Linked DNA regions of Sus scrofa. The protein of the gene in region 1 purifies or fractionates together with the protein of each later gene. This does not show direct contact. Links are inferred from orthologs where the notes say so. Each region holds a gene or a part of one and is shown in the gene's direction. Other genes may lie near its edges. The genes, in order: PPM1G and KPNB1.

Region 1 (4,290 bases):
GGAATTTTATGGTGTCATGTCTTATGTTTACATCTGTAAGCCATCTTGAGTTTATTTTTGTGCATGGTGTTTTCTAGTTTCATTGATTTACATTCGGCTATCCAGTTTTCCCAGCACCACTTGCTGAAGAGACTTGTCTTTCCCCCGTTTTATTTTTATTTATTTTGGTAGAACAAGAAGTTTATTACTCCCACTCAGTGGTTCCTGAGGGCTTTGATGTTTCCCCCACTTTATATTCTTTTAATTTTTTTGTCTTTTTAGGGCCCCACACGTGGCATATGGAAGTTTCCAGGCTAGGGGTCCAAACTGAGCTTCAGCTGCCGGCCTACACCACAGCCACGCAGGATCCAAGGTGTGTTTTCGATCTACACCTCATGGCAACACCAGATCCTTTTATTATATAAATTTTTTGGGGGGGGCACCCCATATGTATATGGAAGTTCCCGGGCTAGGGGTTGAATTGGAGCTGCAGCTGCCAGCCTACACCACAGCCACAGCAATCCTGGATCCAAGCTGCATCTTCCACCTACACCACAGCTCAAGGCAATGCCAGAATACCAGATCGTTAATCTGGTTAGTGAGGCCAGGGATCGAACCAGCATCCTCATGGATCCTAGTCGCGTTCGTTAACCACCAAGGGAACTCCTTCCATTTTTATATTCTTACCCCCTTTGTGGGTCTTAACTGATGTGTCTGGGTTTATTTCTGCGCTCTGTTTTGCTCCACTGATCCTTTCATCTCTTTTTGTACCAGTATCACACTCCCTTGATTACCGTAGGTTTCTATCTCTTACTCTCCTCTGATTTCATCCCGACCAGCACAGACGTCATAGATCAAGGTCTTCATTTTCTTTGTCAAAAAGACTCACATCCCACTGGCACAGACCTCACAAGGCCTGGCCAGGATACTTCATGCTCTCAGAACAAATACTAGCCAACTTTAAGTCAACCTTTTCGGGCGCGGTTCGCAGAGTCTGCGGGCGCGGAGGGGAGACAGGGAGCTGACACGCTGGAGGATGGACCGGAAGCCCCAGGTCCCAAACAAAAGAGCTCAGGCAAAACGCGAGGCCAGGAGAAGAGGCGGGGGACAGGGTGGCAGAGCTGGAGGCAACGCGCAGCCCACGGGGACGGCCCAAGCAGGCCGCGGCCGTTGGTGGGCGTGGCCGCGCCAGTCTCGCGGGAGCGGCGGTTGGGCGGGCCGTTGTCCCCGCGGGCGGGGCGAGTTGCTAAGGAAATGACTACCCGCGGCGCGGCGCCGTGCCGCGCCGCGCCGGCCGGGCGGGGTCTGAAGCGGTGCCGTTTCCGTTTCCGCTCCCTCTCTGCTCCCGTCCCGTTACCGCCTCCTGGCCCGCCTCGCGCCTTTCACCGGCACCTTGCGTCGGCCGCGCAGTCTAGCCCGCTCCTGCCACGCGCGCCCCCGGGGCTCCGGCTCCGGCACGGGTCGCGCCCCACTCGCCTTCCCCTGAGGTCGCCGGTCAGCCGCCGCCATGGGTGCCTACCTCTCCCAGCCCAACACGGTGAAGTGCTCTGGGGACGGGGTCGGCGCCTCGCGCCTGCCGCTGCCCTACGGCTTCTCCGCCATGCAAGGCTGGCGCGTCTCCATGGAGGTGAGGCGGGAGGGGCCCATAGGCTGGCGACTGCAGGGCGGGAACCCGACGGAGAAAGGGAGCGGGGGGATGGGGTCATCCTCGGGGAAGGGTCCGAATCGAGATCCTGCGACCGGAGCAGCAATCTGGGGGGCGACAGCGAGAGCGGGGCCGAGGCAGCGAGAGAGCTGCCGGTGCTAGGGAACCGTGTGCCGGTGGCCACCTTGGCGGTGAGGGCTCGGCCATGTGGGGAGAGGCACCTTCCGCCCACTGACCGACGTCCCCGTGCCTTCGCGCCATCCTCTCGTGCTAACCCAGCCTTCCAGGCTCGCAAACGGTGTGAGGTTTAGTGTGGGAGTGAAGATGAAAAGGGACTATCCATTGATTTTGCTAGGGAGAGGGGGATAGATGTGAATGAGTGTACTTAAAAAAAAAAAAAAGAAGTGATGTGAGAGGGTTCTTTGGACGAGGAGTTTGACAGTGAAAGGAAGCCGGGTAAATGGTCTGTTTCAAATTCTTAATACCTAGTTGCCTGGCCCTGGGCACCACAAATTAATTTCGGAGGTTTGACTTGACTTGCAAGAATTGTCTCTTGTTTGTTTCAGGGCCTTTCATGGCCTTTGGAAAACTTGAATTGTGTCCATCACGATAATTTCTTTTTTTATAATGCTTGATTTTCTTTTTTTCCTCACTCGGGGTTTCTCTAAAACTTGGTACTTGTCTTTTGCCTGTGCTTGTTGTAGTTTATAGTTTCCTTGATTTTCAACAATTTCATCAACTTTTTGTCTTAACGTACAGAGAACTCTTTTTCTTTCATAGAAAATTTTGCTATGGAAAAATTCTGGAGAAAAAGGCATAGTATTGGGCAACTGTATGGGAAACTGCAAAGGAGAATGGAGAAAACTATGGTAGGAAGGGAAGGGGGAAAGACGTGTGACATGTTTTTGTGAAGAGTACCGGGAGATCTAGGCAGAGGAGCCAGGGAAATGCTCATAATTCTGTCTGGGATTGAGGGTTGATCCATTTACTAGGTGGGCTTCAGGTAGCAGCAAATACTGTCTCCCTTGGGAATTTCTTCAAATCCCTCACTCCTCCCTGTGGTTAGCTCTGGAATGACAGTGTAAACTTGAATGGTTTGTTCTCAAAGTGAAATTTTGAACCCACAGGAGACATTATCATTAGGTGTAAAATTTCCGGAATGGAGAGGATCCTATAGTTATCTCACTAAGATTGGCTCCCACCCTTTACTGCTCAGAAATTGAGGCTGGGAGAGATTAGGATACTTGTGCCTTGGAGGAAAGATCTGTAGGATGGAAATGGTTCAAGACTCTTGCTGCACTGTTCTCTGTGTCAGGCTGAGGTAAAGCCTTCACTTTTGACTGTGGTGCACAGTATTGAGCTTACTGAGTACTTGGTAAATGTAATTGTCTGACTTGTAGGAATATCTGGGTGAAGCTTCCAAAGGAAACCCTTAATTTAAGGCTGGGGTTGGGATTAGCTGGTAATTTGGAGTTCTGTTTCTATGACATTTTCTGTTAATTTGGTAAGATTTGAGGTGACTGTCTCATCTCATAATAAAGCTTTTCTTTCAGGTTTCTTCTTCAGTATTTTCGACTCTCCTCTCTGCTGTGGCTTTTCCATTTCTTTGGTACTCTTTCTAGTTTTCTTTATAAATTGAGTTGCTTGGATATTCAGTTTTCCAAATTGTTTGCCCAGTGATTCTGTACTGTTTGCTTCTTCTCTGCAGGGCATTTCCCTTTATTTTTGGTTCCTCCTCTAGTAATTAGAACATGACTTTTCATCAGAGGCAGTTTAGTTTGTAGAGATCTTACTAGACTATTCCTTAGATTCTAATCCTCCTCCTGGGAGATAACCACTTAGGGTTTCAAAATCTTATTATGCAGTATTTGATTTTACTTTTGTTTAAATAGTTAAATATATCTAATAAAATACACTCCAAGTCCTGTATGGGATCCTGTTCTGCTGCAATGATACTTTCGCTTCTGGCTTTATTTCCTCTCTCCCTTAAGTATAACAGTTTCTTTGCTATGGCAAGAAAATAACTTGGACTTCTAGCCTCTTGAGTGAATCTTAATCTTTTTGGAAAATGTACTCCTGTTCCTCTTAACCTTTAGGACTTAAAATTCCACTTATTTATTAATTCTATTGACCTTAATTTGCTTGGTCCTAATGATTTAGTTGAGCTACGTTTATCACACCAATGCACATTATAAAGGTTGCTAAAAGCCTGACTGATGCATAGATTCAGGCTAAGAGAGTACTATTTTATCCTTTCTCTTGAGGCAAGGATGGCAACTATCAATAGCTGGCATTTTATACTTTCTGCCTCTCTCTAGCCCCTCTTGCTGTGGAACCAGGGTGTTTTGAGGAGGGGTAATCAAAATACCACAGTTGATGTTCCCTTCCCTTCTTCCTTCTCCATGGTTTGGAGTGATCCTCAAGCTGGTTGAGGTATGTATTTTGGGAGTTAACAGGTAGGTTGTGGAAGGGTGCCTGAGAAATATATTTGGAAAGGCTCTGAGTTTTTGGTGGCTAATGAGAAGTCCAATTTGAAAACACTTTTTTTAGTTGATGTAGTCTTAAAGAGACTAGGGTACTTTTAGTTTTTGGTTATGAGGTTCTCTGGAAGTTACAGAATTGCTCCCTATGGGAAATTAGGAATTTTATATATATAATATTTTCCC
Region 2 (3,813 bases), on another chromosome or scaffold:
TAAATGTATGTTTTGTCGCAAATGATTTGCACTGTCAAAAGGAGTTCCCTAGTGGCTTAGTGGGTTAAGGATCTAGCATTATCACTGCTGTGGCAAGGGTTTAACCCCTGGCCTGGTCTGCATACCGTGGGCATGGCCAGAAAGAGAAAAAACATATTAGTATAAAAATACCTTCTCACCCCCACACACATAGGCCAAAAGCACCCCACAGTATTCTAGGGGCTTGATTGATTTTTTGATTGGAGGGTTTGAAATCAACAGATTCTGAACTCTCATTCATTTTACAGAATGTTCTCCGGAAAGTGCAACATCAAGACGCTTTGCAGATCTCAGATGTGGTCATGGCCTCCCTGTTAAGGATGTTCCAGAGCACAGCTGGGTCTGGGGGCGTGCAAGAGGATGCCCTAATGGCAGTTAGCACACTGGTGGAAGGTCAGTGAGCCAGATCGGGATGTCTTTTGAAAGAAAGAGGATGGCCATAAAGAATTTTGACTGCAGAATGCTTAGTCCTATCTTCTTATTTATTGGGGTATTGAGTCAGTTCAGAGTTGGGTTAAATGGAAGTGTAAGTTTGTGTATAAATTTCCTTGCCACTCTCCTTGAAGTGAATGGGGAAGAGATTGGCAACCCTTTGATGGGGGAACATCTATCTCTTGTTCTTCAGGTTCCTTTTCCCCCTGAAGTCTGCTTGCTTTGTTGAGGTTTGGCTCCTGTAAAGGATGGAGGAAGCAATGGTTTCTATTTTCTTTCCTGGCACTTGGTACCTTCTGGTGTGGGTTGTAATGCTTTGGATTCAGGTTGACACATCATGGTACCTGATATGAAATGGAATGAAACATTGAGTGAGTTCTAGGAATTAATTGATTTTCTGCTTGTTACATGTTTATGCACAATTGCTGTGGGGAAGCCATATCTGACGTAAGACTCCTTGAAAGGCCAATTGAAAACGTATTAAAGAGCACTTCAGACGCTTGGAATGGTTCTTCAGTGGTGGCCTATCAGGTGCCTTAGGAGGACCAGACCCATTTCTGGCATAAAGAGCTTTTGTCCCACTGGTCTGGCAACACGTGATCACCCCTGGCAGGGCACAGAAGTTGACTTTGGTTCCTAGAGTGGCTGATTTGGATATGAAGCCCAGACAGCTTTTCTTGACTGGCTTGTTAAGTGAGTCCTTGATAGAATTGCCTTAGAGACCCTGTTTTAAAGCTGGCTTTCAGAGAGGACATGTTGTAATCAGATGAAGAGGTGGATGAGAGGCAGTAACTCAGCCAATTCAGAATTAACCTTGACATTCCTTGAGAACCATACATACCACTTGGTAGTTTCTGTCAGTAAGGTCCTATTCCGGAGATGTGACGTTATCTCCAGGGGGCAAGAGTTAGGCCCTTCTGCAGTTAATCATTTGGCTTGCCCGAGGCAGCCTGTGACGTCATCACTCCTTGTGATAGAGTCAGTAACTAACTCACACTCTACCCAGCCTGTTGGCCGGAGTGCATACATTTTGGGAGAAGTAAGGTGGTATTTTTGCTCACTTCCATGACATCCGGTGGTGCTAATAGTTTGTTTCTTTGCAGTGTTGGGTGGTGAATTCTTGAAGTACATGGAGGCCTTTAAACCCTTCCTGGGCATTGGATTGAAAAATTATGCTGAGTACCAGGTAGGCTGTGCTTTCAAATAATACATTTATATCTCATTTGTACCTAGTAGTCATTGTAGTACGAAAGTCAGAATCCCATGTGATTCCTGGTCATGATTCCCTATGTGATAGCCCAAGGGTTGAATGACTCTTTTCCCGAGTATGTCTGAGCTAGACGTAGTTAGTGAGAACAGGATATCAGATGCACCAGAGTAGCATCCTAAGAAGGGGTTTTTGTTTTGTTTTCAGTAAACAACTCGCTTCTGCCACCACCATCCCTGGTGGATAGGAATGTCCTTTCTTAATGATATTTTAGATGGTCCTGGCTTTCTTCCGGCCATGTTGGTTGTTAAAAATGAACTAATCGCAGAGAAGAAGGGTCTTTTCTTTTTGACTCTAGGTTCAGGTGATAAGGGACCAACAGCTAGGTAAAAATCAGGCCTTAGCCCTGCAGGCAGCCTTTTCTGTTGGAGAGATCATTTTCTTGATTCTTTGCAGGTCTGTTTGGCGGCTGTGGGCTTAGTGGGAGACTTATGCCGCGCCCTGCAATCCAACATCTTACCTTTCTGTGATGAGGTGATGCAACTCCTACTAGAGAACTTGGGGGTGAGTGTCTATACGCACAACCTAGTTTACCAGTATTGGAAGAAATCATTGGTCGGAAAGGTGGTCATGTATGTGTGACAGGGAGCTATGTATATATATATATATATATGTATGTTCCAGAATGTTGGCTGTGGGCTTTTGAAGGGAACTGTTCATTTTCACAAGATGATTCCACCTCAGTTTGTAAAGTTAATTAAAGGAATGCATGGAACTTGGTGGCGGGGGTGGGGGGGGACAGCAAGTAAAGCACAAAGGAAAATAAATACCTAATCCCTCTATGTAGAGATAACCACTACTAATTTTTGTGTATGTTCTTAAGGTGTATATACCCAGCATATTAGTAGTTGCTTATTATTTAAAACACTTTTCTATCCTTTGGACAGAGCTAACTTTGACTTTTTTTAAACTGCTTTTCCCCCCCTTGTCAGAATGAAAACGTCCACAGGTCTGTGAAGCCACAGATTCTGTCAGTATTTGGTGATATTGCCCTTGCTATTGGTGGGGAATTTAAAAAATACCTAGAAGTCGTATTGAATACTCTTCAGCAGGCCTCCCAAGCGCAGGTGGACAAGGTAAGCTTAACACTATCTTTAAGTCCAGCCCTGACTAGAGGAGCAGCCCTTTTGGCAAACGTACAACTAAAGGCAATCGATGTGATAGGAATTCTGTTCTTTTTCTCTTACAGTCAGACTATGACATGGTGGATTATCTGAATGAGCTAAGGGAAGGCTGCTTGGAAGCCTATACTGGAATCGTCCAGGGCTTAAAGGGAGACCAGGAGAACGTACACCGTTGAGTATACAACCCAGTTGACTTGGTCCAGTGTGCCCTTAGCTAGATGAGCCGTGTGTGTCACTGTGTAGCTTACTTGCAAACTAGCACTTACTGCTTAAAACAAGGCAAGAAGGAGGAACAGTTCCCTAATGAAGGGAGGAGCTTTGGGGGATGGGGGGTAAACACTTTATTATTTCTGCTTCCTGCTTCCTCAGCTACCTTGTCTCACATTTCTTGAGCATTCAAGGTTGATGGTGCTGGTTGTGCCCGTACCAACCCTAAGTGGGGAGTTACTGACGCGTGTGCCACCATGCCCACCTTCTTGCCCCCCCCCAGGCACGTCTGAGTTGAAGGATTGGGAGTCAGGTTTCCTCTACCACCTGATGGTTCTGCTCCTGATTGGGAAAAAAATATTGGTACTTCACCCCTTTGATATTACAGGCTTAGAGCAAAGGTTCCATTTGTTCCTTCTATAGTACATCTGTTTGTGAGAAGAGGAATATCGGCCTCTTCTGTTACCTTGAAGAAGGACTTCTTGATCTGAGGAAGAATAATTTGGTGTAATCAGAAGCAACTAGTTCAGCCTAAAACCTGCCTGATGGAGGCAGAGTATTTAGAAATTATGAAACAGGGTGGAGTCTTGCCAAATGTGGCACAACTTCATCACACCTTCTCTTTCTTTTATAGCGGATGTGATGCTGGTACAACCTAGAGTAGAATTTATTCTGTCTTTCATTGACCACATTGCTGGAGATGAGGATCATACAGATGGAGTAATAGCTTGTGCTGCCGGACTC

Evidence for each region.
Region 2: the proteins of PPM1G (region 1) and KPNB1 purify together in Homo sapiens (affinity purification with mass spectrometry; 3 studies listed by BioGRID and IntAct, with this or other methods). This does not show direct contact. The link is inferred for Sus scrofa from reciprocal best matches to the Homo sapiens genes PPM1G and KPNB1.

What each region holds. Positions count from the first base shown.
Region 1 is NC_010445.4:111,746,807-111,751,096, forward strand, and holds the start of PPM1G (protein phosphatase 1G), read left to right. Parts: upstream 1-1,205; 5' UTR 1,206-1,486; coding exon 1,487-1,606; intron 1,607-4,290.
Region 2 is NC_010454.4:23,936,161-23,939,973, forward strand, and holds part of KPNB1 (importin subunit beta-1), read left to right. Parts: intron 1-287; coding exon 288-432; intron 433-1,574; coding exon 1,575-1,657; intron 1,658-2,134; coding exon 2,135-2,242; intron 2,243-2,670; coding exon 2,671-2,814; intron 2,815-2,927; coding exon 2,928-3,033; intron 3,034-3,703; coding exon 3,704-3,813.